2 linked regions of the Rhinolophus ferrumequinum genome follow. The protein of the gene in region 1 purifies or fractionates together with the protein of each later gene. This does not show direct contact. Links are inferred from orthologs where the notes say so. Each region holds a gene or a part of one and is shown in the gene's direction. Other genes may lie near its edges.

Region 1 (7,886 bases):
TAGGATGGACCCTCATCCAATAGGACCTATGACCCATGTCTTTGTACAAAGAGAGGGGACACTGGGAAAGACACGCAGGGAAATGGCCATGTGCCCACAGAGGCAGCGATCGCAGTTAAACGGTCACAAACTGAGGACCACCAAGGATTGCCAGCCACCAGCACAGCTAGGAAGAGGCAGGAAGGATCCTCCCTTAGCGCCTTCCAAAGAGCACGGCCCTGCTGACACCTTGGTCTTGGACTTCCAGCCTCCAGAACTGGGAGACAACAATTTCTGCTGTTTTAAGCCACCCTGTTGGTGGCACTTTGCTAAGACAGTCCTAGGACACTAATACACCACCTTGCAGCCTAGAGAGGAGCTCAGCCCCCCTAGACACCTATCTAGACAGCATCTGGCTGGGGCATATAGAGCCCCTCTCCCCCTCAAGTCCCTTCACCTCAACCCCAGGGCCTATGAGTCCCACAATTTCCCAGAAGATTTCGGAGAGAGACACGGTCAGCAGAGAATGTTCTCCATGGTGGGCAGGACTCCCAACTCACCTTTCCCCAACAATGGCCTCCTTGAACTCTGAGGCTTGGCTGACCCACAGGACAGGCTGCCTAGGAGAGGTGGCTCCCCGCCGTCTCGCGACCTAACCTCCCTGGAAGCGTGCCATCACTCCCTGTACTGGATTGAATAATGTTCCCCCAAAACATGGAACCTGTGACTGTGGCCTTATGTGGACAAAGGGTCTTTGCAGATGTAAGCAAGTTAAGAGGAGGTCATCCTGCATAGGCTGGGCTCTGAACCCAGTGTGACTGGTGTCCTTATAAGAAGAAGGAAATTGGTCACGGAGACACAGACACACAGGAAGGAGAGACGGAGGCAGAGATTGGAGTGGTGCTTCTCCAAGCCAAGAAATGCCAAGGATTGCTGGCAACCACCAGAAGCCAGGAAGAGGCAAAGAAGGATTATTTCCTAGAGCCGTCAGAGAGAGAAAGGACCAGCTGACATTTGATTTTGGCCTCCAGAAATATGAGAGAATAAATTGTTTTAAGCCATCCAGTTTATGGTCATTTGCTATGGCAGCCCAGGAAACTGATATACCTTCCAGCAAAGAGAAGACAATGGTGTTCCTGTTCCACCCGCAATGGGCTGTGGGACCTGGGGCAGGTCAACCTCTCCTCTCAAAACCTCAGTCTCTTCTTCTGTTGAGTGGGGACATGTAACTCCCAAGCCTGGACTTGAGACATCTCTGTTAAGGGGCCAGCGTGCGGCTCAGAATTTAAATGCCATACTGTATTATCATCGGAGGAAATGACAGTAACTTATTCATTCAGTCAACCAATGTTTGTTTGTCCTTGTTCCAGGTACTGATCTAGGCTGAGATCCAGCAGGGGACTCACAGTGTAGGGATGGGGAGGGAAAGGTGACTGAGGAAACTGCTTAAGACTAGGCGCTGCCTGAAGGCCTGATAAAAATGCAGCTGTCTGGGTCCTTCAGCCTCTTTGGTGGACAGTCGTGAGCAGCTGCTGTGTGTAGGGCCCCGGGAGGAAGCGGAACACACAAACAGGCGTTGCCATGGCATTTACCTGACACGGCTCACTCAGCATTGTGTCAGTTTGCGGGGGCTGCATAACAAAGTACCAGGAACGGAGTGGCTTCAACAGCAGAAATGTATGGTCTCATAGGTCAGGAAGTGCGAAGTCCAAGATTCAAGGTGTGAGCAGGGTTGGTTCTTTCTGAGGGCTGTGAGGAAGAGTCTATTCCACGCTTCTTTCTTACGTTTGGGTGCTTTGCGGGCAATCTTTGGCTTTTCTTGGCTGGTAGAAACATTACCCCGATTTCTGTGTCTACCTTCACGTGGGATTCTCCCTGTGTGTGTCTGTCTCCAAGTTTCCCTTTTCTATAACAACATTGGTCACGTTGGATCAGGGGCCTCTCCTACTCCAGTACGACCTCATCTTAACTAATTATATCCGTAGCAAACTTATTTCCAAATAAGATCACATCCGGAGGCACGGGGGGTTAGGACTTCCACATACGAATTTGAGGTGACACCGTTCAACATATCACAACAGCTTTTTTGTGCTGCCAGGAAGGCAGGCGGCCCTTGTCCCTTTGGGAGACACCAGGGCTAGTGCTGGCCCAGTGGCCTCCGTCTGAGTGTCACCTCATTTTGAAAATGTCTTAAGAAGTGGGATGTTGAGTAGGTATTTTCTTTCAAACGAAGGACTTCTGTACAATGTCCAGGTCTGTTAGGCAGACGTCAGACATGTCTCCTTTATGTCCCTGTCCCCACTGCCCAGGAACAGGCCTAGATAGAACATTGTAGGTGCTTAACACAGGTTTGTGTAATGAATAAACCAGGAGTCCCGAGTTCAAATTTCATCAGGGCCTTGGTTTCCGCAAATTGGGCCTACGAAGGGCATTGACGAAAGGGTCGTTGTGAGAAGTGAACGAAATAACCCGTGAAGCACTGGGCATAGCACCGAGTCCATAGTAAGTGCTCTTTGCAGCCTCAGCCCGGGCCTGGAAGGCCATTATCCTACGGCCATTGTCACGTGTGAGGAGGACACAGCTGCCCGCCCCCACCCCCAACTCCATCCAAACCTTAAAAAGAGAGGCAGCTAACATTTTGTAAGTGGCTCCCGTGGGCCAGGCACAGCATCTGCAATTTATGTCTCTTCCATCTTTTCACCTTCGACAGCCAAGCTTTATCATCCGCATTCCGCAGATGGCGAGGTGGTAGCTTGGGGAGGTGACACATCTTGCCAGATCACCATCAAGTGCAGGGACTGGGATTTTGGCCATATCCTCTGACTCTCCAACCCCTGGCTGGATCCTTGTCACCTGAGTGTGGTGGAGGCCCGGCCTCCAAGCCTCACCGGCCAGGCCTCCAGGGAGCTTCTCTGTCCCTGTAGAACAAAGGGGCCCAGCGTTGGTGTAAAATGCTGATTCCCAGAGAGCATCGAGGGCTTTATCCTGTGTGTGTGAATGTGTCCCTTTGCTGCAGGGACAAGGGTATCCAGGCCACCCGATTGCCTAGTTGATAGAACGAAGTCTTCTCTCAGCGGCAGGCTGTGCCCCAGTCTGTCTCTCAGCGGCACAGTGTCCCCCACTCATGGCTCTCTGAGCTCTTGGGGCGGTGGCCCCCTTGCCCATGCTTTCAAATGCCTCCCTTTGCATTTTGCTGCCTCCTCATGCCAGCCCCTCCCCTCTGACTGTGGCCGATAGATCAATGATTGGCCAGGCGACAAGTACAGAGGACGTGGATTGTGCAAGATCTTCTGCATTTCAGACTGTCCAGCTATCAGCCTGCCTGGTCCGGGGGCCTGGGTCGTTTGCCTTTCAAAAGACAGAGAGGGTACAGAGGCAGGGCTTGGGGTGTCTTTGACCCTGGCCCGCCTGCCATTCCTGCTCCCATCCTAAGCACCTCTCCCTTGGAAAGTTTGCAATGGGTTGTGGGCCAGGGCCCGGGGAAAGGGGGAGGTTGGAGGAAGGAGGAAAATTACCTGGGTCTGGGGTGAAGGGGAGTGGGACTAGGTGGGGGTTCTCAGTCCCAGGTAGGGGTAATGCCCTTGGGCAGGGGCCAGGGTCCTGGACAGGACTGAACAAGAGGGACGTGCGGGAAGATGCTCCCCACCCAGAATCCCCAACCAGCCCATGGGGCACCCTCCTGCCCTGACCCAGCCCTTTTCAGGTCTGGAGATGGCACACACTGTACGTACAGAGTTCGTACCCAGTGCCTCTGTGCATGGACTCTTATTCCTGATGGACACCCTGTGGACCCCATGTGCCCCCAACACTTGCATACAGCAGGCCCCCGTACAAAGCATACACAGAGGTATGCACATGCGTGTGTGTGACACACGTGAGGTGATGTTGCACAGGCAGTCCTCCTTACCTTCACTGGAAACTCCGTACACGTGCTGACCTAGCCCAGACACATGGCACACGCACACACCTCACACTCACACACACACACACACACACACACACACACACCCCCACATGTCACAGCACTCAGAGTCTCAGATGTGAAACTTCGGGCCTAATTGCGACAAACACCAGTCAGCCTGTGCACAACCAGAAAACCCTGGTGCCTGCCCAACGCGTGCTTTGGAGCAGGATGTGGTCAGACCCACCGTCTCTACCGCAGCTCTGCTCACTAGCACCGCAATTCACATTTGTGAATTTCCATGTTCTACTTCTTGCCACACTTGTGATTTCCATGTTCTAGTAGTCACATGAAAGAATATGAAACCAAGCAGGTGAAATGAATTTTAACAGTATATTTTATTTAACGCAATCTAGCCAACATGTTACCATTTTAACATGTCACCAGTGTAAAAAAATTCTTACTGAGGTATTTGACATTCTTTGTCGGCACCACCTGGTGTGTATCTCAGCCGTGCAGTGATACGTCTCAATTCAGACAGACCCCTCTCCAGAGGCTCCAGAGACACGTGGGGCCAGTGGCCATCAAAATGGGCTACACAGCTCTATAGAATCACGTGGAAATTCAAATAATTTCCAGCTAAACACAAAATAGCACTCTGCACTCCACTCTCTTCTCTCCTGTCCCCAGAGCACATGGCCCAGTCTCCTTTTCTCTCTCGGGCCACTGGCTGCCCGGGTCTCACCTGTCCAGGTAAGGAGACCCGTGTGAGACCCTGCAGGTACCACACAGGGCCCTCAACACAGCCCCCAGTCCCTGGCCCCCCACCTCATGCTCTAGAGGACCAGGGGCTGTAACTAGGCAGGAACGTCACCAGGCAACGGGCCTCGGGGGACAGCTCAGATCTCCTGCACCTGCCCGCCAGCCTCCAGGGTGCCCACGGGGCAGGGCGGGGCGGGGCGGGCACTGCGTGTCTCTTGCCTCCGGACTGTTTACCTGAGCACAGTCACAGTGCTGTCCTGAAGTGAGCAGCAGGCCCATGGAGCCTGGGGCCACAGGCCACAGAGGACAAGGGCCAGACACTCCGGCCATGGCTCTGGGCCATTGATCCAGCCCCAGCTGGCCGGGTGGAGGTGGGGAGACCTTGTCCTGGACAAACAGAGGCCGTGAGGTCTGCGTGCAGGCCCGGCACCCACTTGCCACTCCCAAAGGTAAGTGGGGGCCTCCAGGACAGGGGAGCAGGATCTATGAATGACCCGGTAACAGTGTCCTCTGAGAGCTGGGCCTGGCTCCTTGGAACTTGAGCCGTGTGCCCTGCTCTGAGGCCAGGTCTGCCGCCTCGGCCAGAAAGTAACCAGGTGAGCAGAAGGAGGGTCCATGGAGCTGGGTCTGGGGCAGGACAGGGCGGAGTGAGGCCGGTGTACGGGTAGGTACGGGGCAGTGGAGGAGCTGTGGGTTCTGGGTGCTGGGAGGCCTGGGATTCGGTGGGGCCGGTGGACTCTGGGGCAGGGACAAGGCAGGAGAGAAGCCTGATTTGCTGGCCGAGTACCTCCCAGCACTCTGCAGGACTGGGCATGCTGCCCCCTCCGTTCCCAGGACACGACCTGGGTGGTGTGGTCTGGGAGACAGGCCCAGAGCCCTACACTGCACTAAACAGGGGACCTTTAGCTCCCAGGCTCGGAGCTGAATGCAGCTGGCAGTGTGTGTGTGTGTGGTGTGTACGTGCACAAGTGTTTATGAAGGGGGATTGTGGATCTATGAATCTGTGTCACAGATAGGTGTGTGTACCTTTGTAGGTTTCCATCTGTGTACATCTGTGTGTGAGTTTGTGAGTGTGTTTGTGTGTGTAGAAGGGATGCTCACCCCCCACCCCCACGCACACCCGGGAACACACAGTCACAGTAGCTCATAGCAAGGATTCGCTGTAGGCCTGCGTGGCCTCGCTGGAAGCTCCTAGAACAGAGTCCCAGCTCTGCCTGCTCTGCCCTGCCCCGGCTGGGTGACCTTGAGTGAGCCATTTCATCTCCCTAGACCTCAGTTTCTCCAACCATTAGGTAGAGATGGCAAGGCAAACATCCCAGACTGATGGAGGCTGAGATGGAATGAGGTTTTCAGCATTGCCCAGCACAGGGCTAGCATGGAGGAGGAGGTATAGCCTGGTCCCAGTGAGCTCAGCCCCCAGTGGGCAGATTGAGACCCCTCCATTGGTCAGAAGAGCAGGACGGAGTGAGGAACACGTGCCAGGGTGGGGTCTAAGTGCTCAGATCAGAGGAGAAGCCTCAGGCCCCTATGGCAATTGGGGTAGACCCAGTCCCTCCTGGCAGGGGCTCACTGTCATGGGGACAGAGAAAATGCCCCCAAGGTGAACTATGCATCGATGGGGGTGGCCCAGGAGACGTCAGGGGGCAGTTGCCCCTCCTGGGGCTCTCTGGAGCTTCCAGGAAGGAGGAGGTGAGAGCTGAGCTGAGGTGTGAGTGGGCCATCCAAAAACTGGCCAGGTTAGGAGGTGGGCAGCCTAGGAAGAAAGAAGGGCGTGGTGGGAAAGCTAAATGGTAGGCAAGAACTTTCAAGAACCAGTCTGCGTGATGTTCTTCACCCCAGAGCTGGCAAAGAGCCCTTGATCCGTAACGGTTTTCTACCATCTCCATGACTAGACTTGCTAACTGGTAAGTCCAAGGTCACTGGGGTACAACAGGAAGAAGAGGGCGTGGGGAGAAAGGAGGCAGGAGAAGTTGGCCCCGCCACACACGCACACAGCTCCTGTGTGGGAAGGAGCTAGGATCCTAGCATTCATTCATTCAACAGTGAGGGAGTACCAGGTCTGCTCTTGGCGCAGGGTACACAGTGCTGAACAGAATAAAGCTCCTGCTCCCGAGCCGCTTACAGCCAGTGAGGAGGGTGGACACGTAAGCGTCTCATGCGATTGAGGTCTCAAGAAGTGCTGTGAAAAAAATGGAGAGGAAAAGGGGGTGGTCAGGGAAGGCCTCGCTGCAGAGGTGACATCCCAGCAAAGACTGGGAGACAGTAAAGGAGCAGACCATGAAGCAAACTGAAGGAAAAGCATTGTGGGGAAGGGAACAGCAAATGCAAAAGACTATATATACTTGATATGTTGATAGTCTGGCAAGGAGCTGAGTGGGGGCTGGTACAGAGGGAGGGAGAGGACAGAAAGATGCGAAAGGACCAAATTACCTAGGCCTCTGTGGGCTGTGAGAAGGACTTTGGGCCCTGTTCTAGGTGGACGGGGGCCATGCGAGGCTGGTGAGCGGGGCACGTGGTGAAAAGACTACTCTGACGGTTGTGTAGGAAGGAATTCGATACTGAGGGTGGCCGGGTGACTGGCTACTGCAAGGTCAAGTTCGCAGACGATGCTGACTTAGCTGATGGTGGGAGCCATGCTGGTACCAAGAGAGACTTGGGTTCTGGGGGCATCCGGAAAGTAGAGCCACAGACTTTTCTGATGGACGGGGCCCTTGAAACGATGGGGACGCCCTTGCATAACAGTAAAAGACGGAGCAGTCTGGTCTGGTCATCTTCACACCTGTCAATTGTCACAGTTGTCCATCTCCTGCTGGGCCGTCCACCCCAAGAGGGTGGGAATGGGGTCCCTTATATTCACCAATGTGCCCCCTGTGCCCAGCACACAGCCTGGCACAAAGCAGGTGTTCATCACAAATGCGGTGGCTGGGTAACTGAATCTAAGATCCATGGCTCAAGCCTCACATGTCCTGCTTCCCAGAGGCAGCAAGACGTAGGAGAGAGCACTGCACTGAGAGTCCGGAGCCCTAGGGTTCTTTGCATTCATTCCTTCATCAGGCATTCATTCATGTGGCAAGCCCTGTGCTGGGTCCTACAGGGAATCAGGAGTGAAAAAGATACAGGCCTATTTTCTTGTGAGGAAGAGAAATGAAGGCCAAAGGAACATTGTTGATCTGACCAAGGGCTGCCCAGGAGAGGAGGTGACTTACTACTTAGGGCCTGGGGACCCGTCGCCAGGCAGGTGGCC
Region 2 (7,085 bases), on another chromosome or scaffold:
TGTGACTGCATAATGAGTACAGGGTTTTCCTTTAGGGCAATGAAAATGTTCTGGAACTAGATATTGGTGATGATTTCACATTTTGAATGTACTAAATGCCATTGAATTGTACACTTTAAAATGGTTAAAATTGTGAAATTTATGTTATGTGTATTTTACCACAATAAAAAAAATTAGTAAAGCGGAAATCCTAGAAAGATTTTTTTTTTCAGATGTAGACAAAATTATTCCGAAAGTTATATGGAAAGCAAAGGAACTAGAATAGCTAAAACAAATTTTGAAAAAGAAGAATTAAGTGAGAGGGATCAGCTTATCTGTTTTACTCAGGATTTTACCCAAGACTTATTAAAAGGCTACACCTGTCAAGATGGTGTGGTAGTGGCAGAAGGATAAATACACAGATCAATGAAACATAACAAAGGACCCAGCAGTAGACCTACACAAATATGTGCAACTGATTTTTTTTTTTTTTACAAAAGTACAAAAAGTAATTCAATGGAGGAAGAATAGCTTTTTCAATACACATTGCTGTAGAACTTGGACATCCATAGGCAAACAAACAAAAAAACCCTCCCTAAGTCTCAGAGCTTACATAAAAACTAACTCAAAGTGGATCACCAACTTAAACGTGAAGCGTAAAACTTTTAGGAAAAAACTCTTCATGATCTAGAGCTAGACAAAGATTTAACATCAAAAACATTGTCTGTAAAAGGAAAAACTTATAAAATAGACTTCATCAAAATTAAAACACATTTGCTCTGCCAAAGACCATTATGAGGATGAAAAGACAAGCTAGTGATTGGGAGAAAACATGTGGAAACCACACATCTTAGGAAGGAGTACTATCTAGAATAATATATAAAGAACTCTCAGACTCAACAGTAATAAAACAACCCAATAAGGAATGGTCAGAATACATGAAGGGACATTTCACTTCAGAGGATATATAAATAAATAAGCACATGAACAGACATTCAGCATCATTAGCCATTAGGGAAATACAAATTGAAGCCACAATTAAATGTCATTACATACCTATCAGAATGGCTAGAAAAATAATGACAACATCAAATGCTGGTGAGAATAATACAGAGAAGCCAGATCATTCATATATTGCTCGTGGGACCATAAAATGGTACAGCCACTCTGGAAAACACGGCAACACGACGGAATTGAGTTCTACCCAAATAGTTAATAGAGAGTTTTTCCCTCTGCAAGACCTCAAGATAGAAATAAACATAAACCAAATAAACAGAACAAAATCTATGAAGGCACACACTGTAATGGAACTACTTGATGGTCAGAATAGAATTACTTCAAAGTCAATGTGAAATACTCTTGGAGCTGGAAGAGCAGAATCTGTTTGCCTGTGGTTCTATTACAACTCTGAGCTAAGTATTGACTGAGTACTCAAGGTCGATTTAGCAAATGTCTACCTTGCTCTTACTGCTAGCCACAGTAAAAGGTGGTTCCCCGGTGATCCAGTGGCTAGGAGAGGTTCCCTCTCCATCTTTTTTCTTTCTTCCAATTTACCGTGTTAATATAAGACCCAGTCTAATTTTACTATAAGACCGGGTCTTATATTAATTTTTCCTCCAAAAGACGCATAAGAGCTGATGGTCCGGCTAGGTCTTATTTTCGGGGAAACAAGAACCCTGGTCTGTTGAAGAACCCAGGACATTTGTGCTCTAGAGTATTCCCACAGTATGGATTTGCATCATTTGATGTCTCCTGTATTTCCTGTAAATTAGTAGTTAGCTCTAGACTAGAGCTTGATCAGATTCAGACTGAAGGGTTTCTTTACAAGGGTACCTCATAGGTCGAATTGTTTACTCCACCTATGACCAGCAGGACGTAATGTTTGTTGCTTCTCTTGTGATGGACAACAGCCATTGTTGACCATTGCCTAGAATCATTAATTCAGTAGAAGTTACAAGAATGTTGATATTCTAATTATGCCATTCCTTCTTCATTCATTTGCTGGAAATTTTCTATCAAGAGAAATTTCCCCCTCATCTTGAGTTCTCACAGAGAAAAAACAGGATCAATGCTTGATTCTTTCCAATTACTAGCAGTTTTCAAAATAATGAGTTGATCTCCTAGCATTCTCCAACAGTGACTAATAAATTTGTATTTTTAAGTATCACTGTGAACTCACAGATTTAAACATATCAAATATGTTGCTGATAGTGTCCATTTTGACACTCAAATTGCCCATGTTTGGCCAGTGGAAATTATTCTAAAAGCTTCTGAGTCCTTTTAATACCATTTTAACAGTCCGTTGAAAGCTTCCTTGCTTATCTTGGACAATTCCTGTCCCATACCTGAAGTTAGTCATTTCTCCAAGGAGTTCCTTTTAGTGGGAAATAGTGTTTAGATAGCTCAGTCTGAACACTAGGCGTGTTCATTGCTACTGAGTTATTATTTTTAGACCTTTTTAGGATAAAGTTGGGAAATGCGTTAGGATAAAAACACCATGAGCTCCAAGTTATATTTCCAATTTAAATTCAGAATTACAGAGTTTTTACCTACTTTCATCACCCATAAGTCTGTATCTCTTTATTATACACCAAAAATCCTAGTTCACAAAGACACTAATATTAACACTCATTCATTTTACCCCACAACACATCTACAATAGTTTCAGAATAATAATACCAACACTGCCACCAACAATGTGACTACTTTAAAATATTTTCACATTTCTTTTTGTCCTTAGGGTATATCTCACTTGGGATGACATGGTCTAATTATTGTGTTTTGAAGTCACTTAAATAGTTGGACTTGGGGGCATTTTACATTTTTGTGATAAAAGCCTTATGATACGGCCTCATGTGTTTGAGAGAAAAACTACATTTGTCAGATATGTATGTATAATAAAAAGAAGGGACTTGTGTGGGCCTCCAGATTCTGAATTAAATGTAGAGTCAATTAATGCAGAGGCCTTAGTGACACTTTATGAAATCAGCCCTTGTGTTAATTTCACTTGGCAGGTACTAAGAGATGATCCCAGATGCCTATGGCTGCAAAAATATGACATGGCTGAATTCTTTGGGTTCAGTATATTAAAAGGTCACAAGAATGTGTTACTTCACAAAATCATCTTTCTGAGTCTCGTTTTCTCTCAGTTTATCTCACCAAGTCCACTCCCCTGTGACTTAACAACCTTCAGAAAATTATATCCCCATTCCTTCTCCACCTCTTTGCCTCTGTTAGTCTCCCCCTACCCTCGCTCCTAACCACTCAGAAGGGGTGTGTGTGTGTGTGTGTGTGTGTGTGTGTGTGTGTGTGTTGGTGAGAAGGAGGGAATGAAATGGAGGCAGTCGGGGGATAGACAGCTGCCAGGACCTGAGCTGGTGGACTGAAACAAACCCTCATCTTAAACAACTTAGAGCTCAGATTTCTTCTTTGGACAGCTGGCTTTTTCAGTCGTTCTGCAATATTCGGCAAAGATGGGGGAAGGGCTGCGAACTATACCTCTGCTACCGTGTTTCCCTGAAAATAAGACCTAGCTGGATAATCAGCTCTAATGCGTCTTTTGGAGCAAACATTAATAGAAGACCCGATCTTATATTATACTAAAATAAGATGGGGTCTTTTATTAATGTTTGCTCCAAAAGATGCATTAGAACTGATTGTCCGACTAGGTCTTCTTTTCAGGGAAACACAGTATCAATCGTATTTAAAGTCAGCTACCTCCTAGCTATACTCCATAGAAACTAAATGCATATTCAATATAGTAAGAATGACAGCGGTGAACGAAAGGCATACAAATTGCCCACTCTAATTTTTAAAGGCCGGGAGCTCACTATTGACCATGCTGGAGGGCTGCCTGGAGTAGGCAATGACTAGTCTCATACAAGTTGGAATGAGATCTCCGACTTGCCTGTCCTATTTCTGTCCCCTCCCCGCCCCGTGGCACCTTATACTTCATATTCTCTCTAATCCTCCCATCCTCCCCACTCCCACACCCTACCCCCACCAACACTCCTGGAATTTTGGACTTAGCTATTTTTAAAACAGTCAACTCAGTAGCCACCTCCCTCCCCCACTCAGCTGTCCAGTGCTCCTGCCAGCCATATACTCCCCCTTCCCCCCCACACCAGACCTTCTCTGGCTCCCTGACCTCACTGAGATTGCAGCCGGTTTGGAGACCTGGGGGAGACATGGAGAAAGACGGGGATCCCCTGACTGGAGATGACTAACAGAATAGGCAGTCATGGCTGGAGAACTGGATATCAGAGTAATGTGTGACCTCTGGAAACAGTAAGTCAAAATGAACTTGCAATTCCTTTAGTAAGCTTTTGGTTTGAAGTTAAGACTTTCATAAAATTGCAACATCTACCTGGATGTCTCTGGTCCAAAAGCTAGGATCTCTTCCATGCTAAGGTGCCCCAATCTCCATTTCTCCTCCTGTCTCCTTTCTTTCTGGCCTCGGGCCTCTGCCCATTTGAAGTTTAATCCTCCACCTCTCCTCTGGCAGTCTTAGCTCTCTTCTCATCTTGTTACCTCAAGACTTCTGATGAAGTGTCCTTCTTTCGGAGGAGTTTCCCACATCCCCTAGTCTGTGGTTTTCTCACCAAGGCCAAATTTAGCCTCAGATGATTAGTCACTGATACTCTACCTTGCCTCTGCTTAGCAGTGCCCTCCGCTTTCCTCTGAGGGTGGGGGCCACTCCTTGTTGTAAATGATTTCCCCCCACAACTCTAGTCCTGCCGTCGTATTCTCCCTCCGGCATGACTGCTCCCCCCTCATTTCCTTACCCTAAGGAAGCTGGCAGGAGTGAGCTGGCCCCTCCCCAAGCTCTGTCCTCATCCAAAGCCTGAGAACGTCCAAATTTTCAAAGGGAAGATTAATGGAAAGAGTGATTCTTCGGTCAGGTTTGAAATATTCAAGAACTGCAGGCTTGGGTTGCATCCCATTATTCCACGAGAGAGGGGGACTTCTAATTGCAGCTCTCTAGCTTAGATGAAAGAGATTGGTTCCCTTTTCATTTGAATACTGAGGAAATGGCTATTCCACCCTTACTCCTTCTTGCTGAACATTCTGACACATGAAAAAAAGAAATGAATGATCCCTGGTAGGTGTCCCCTCCTGATGGGGAGGAGCAAATAAGAGGTATGTTTCTGAAGTATTTCCAGATCTTTATTCTATTGGGAAACCCACTGGGATGACTGCGATCTGCTCGATCCCCATGATTCCTCCTTTTTTGATATTTCTGCTGTTTGGTAGCTCAGAATGGGGCAATACAGTGGACTCTGCCCCTCCAGTCCACTCAACGTTCCTTCCACCCCCACCTAGGGGTATTGCATAAGGGACCTGAAAGTGGCCACAAGAACAGGGCATAGAGGCTTAACAGCCACACTTACAGTCTGCTTAACCTCCAGTCTGTTTATCCTCTTCCTGATCTTTCCAGATTCTCTTCACATCATCCTGAACAATCTTCACCTCTCCTCTTTCCCCATGCCCAGCCAAATTTCTTTTTTCAGTCACTTACAGGTCGGCGGGTCAAAATTCACTAGGTAGGAGGGCCATCAGCTGGAAAGAACTGGAGCCCGGGGGAACCTGGCTGGATAGGTATGGGGGAGCCAGGCCAGTCCCCTAGTCCGCGGTTCCCCCATGGCAGTCCCCCAACTCTAGGCGCTCTCACTCTCCTGCTGCTGCTCTGTGGACATGGTAAGGCCGGGCTAAGGAAGGGTTTGGGATGCTCCGGGGGAGGCTGTGTGGAGGGGCGGCGTGTGTCAATTAAGAGACGGGTGCTGCTGCGGGCTCACGTGCACCACCCTCAAACAGGAACATACTATTTCCCATTCAATTTGGGGAAGGCCACTAGGAAAGACCTTGATGGCCAGGGACAGGAGATCCAGCGGGTTTACACACTTGCAGCAAAACTGAATGAAGACAGGACTAGGGAGCTGGGGAGTGGGGACGGGCAGACCTTCAGGGGTTCCAGGAACGGATGGAACCCCCTGATGAGAGGAGGGAGAGCAGGGTCCTGGGGGGACCGTCTCACCATCCTCTCCCTCCTACCCTCAGCTAATTCTCAATGCAAGATCCTCCGCTGCAACGCTGAGTATGTATCGTCCACCCTGAGCCTCAGAGGTGGGAGCTCCCCAGGAGCGCTGGGAGGAGAAGGAGGCGGCGGCGGCCGGGGGGCAGGGATGGGCTCGGGCGGCCTGTGTCGAGCCCTCCGCTCCTACGCGCTCTGCACTCGGCGCACGGCGCGCACCTGCCGCGGGGACCTCGCCTTCCACTCGGCAGTGCACGGCATCGAAGACCTGATGATCCAGCACAGCTGCTCCCGCCAGGGCCCCACGGCGCCGCCCCCGCCCCGGGGCCCTGCCCTTCCAGGCAGCGGCCCGGTCCGCTCCTCCGGGCCCCCCGCCCCGGACCCCTGTGACTATGAAGGCCGGTTCTCCCGGCTGCACGGTCGCCCCCCGGGCTTCTTGCATTGCGCCTCCTTCGGGGACCCCCATGTGCGCAGCTTCCATCACCACTTTCACACCTGCCGTGTCCAAGGAGCTTGGCCCCTGCTGGATAATGACTTCCTTTTTGTCCAGGCCACCAGCTCCCCCGTGGCGTCGGGGGCCAACGCCACCACCACCCGGAAGGTCAGGACTCGTGCTCCCCCAGGCCCTCTCGTGGTGCCCCCACGGTACCCCTCCCGCCCACCCCCACTGCTCTTCAGCAATGCTTCTTCCTCAACCACTCCCACATCGGGAACCACTCCCTCCTACCGAACACTTGCTCTTGCAAATCACTTTCCCTTGGTGGGAACTGCACTCAAATTCAGAAAACACTGAACAGAAAGTTAGGGGGGGAGAGCTGAGGAGCCCTGGGTTGGCGTTCCAGAAGGGAACCTTTTCCTTCTCCTGTGGGAGTGGCTCAGCGGGAGGCCAAAAAGGAGAGAGGGGGTTGAGCACGGGTGAGGCAATGCTACATTAAAGAGAACAAGGGATCCCGGAGTGAGGGCCATGCTGGGCCTGGCATCTCTGCGGGAATCAGACCCCTGACTGGGGGAGGGGTGGGGGCAGGATGCCCTGAGCCCACAATGAACTGCTTTCCCTCTTGCCTTCACAGCTCAC

What was found. Proteins that work in one complex are often made in the same cells at the same time.
Region 2: the proteins of TMPRSS6 (region 1) and HJV purify together in Homo sapiens (co-immunoprecipitation; 3 studies listed by IntAct). This does not show direct contact. The link is inferred for Rhinolophus ferrumequinum from reciprocal best matches to the Homo sapiens genes TMPRSS6 and HJV.

Annotation. Positions count from the first base shown.
Region 1 is NC_046293.1:9,672,343-9,680,228, forward strand, and holds the start of TMPRSS6 (transmembrane protease serine 6), read left to right. Parts: upstream 1-4,884; 5' UTR 4,885-5,091; intron 5,092-5,097; exon of another isoform or gene 5,098-5,238; intron 5,239-7,886. UniProt on the Homo sapiens protein: Membrane-bound serine protease. Through the cleavage of cell surface hemojuvelin (HJV), a regulator of the expression of the iron absorption-regulating hormone hepicidin/HAMP, plays a role in iron homeostasis.
Region 2 is NC_046305.1:50,221,760-50,228,844, reverse strand, and holds the start of HJV (hemojuvelin), read left to right. Parts: upstream 1-4,081; 5' UTR 4,082-4,266; intron 4,267-5,489; 5' UTR 5,490-5,579; coding exon 5,580-5,676; intron 5,677-6,036; coding exon 6,037-6,611; intron 6,612-7,080; coding exon 7,081-7,085. UniProt on the Homo sapiens protein: Acts as a bone morphogenetic protein (BMP) coreceptor. Through enhancement of BMP signaling regulates hepcidin (HAMP) expression and regulates iron homeostasis.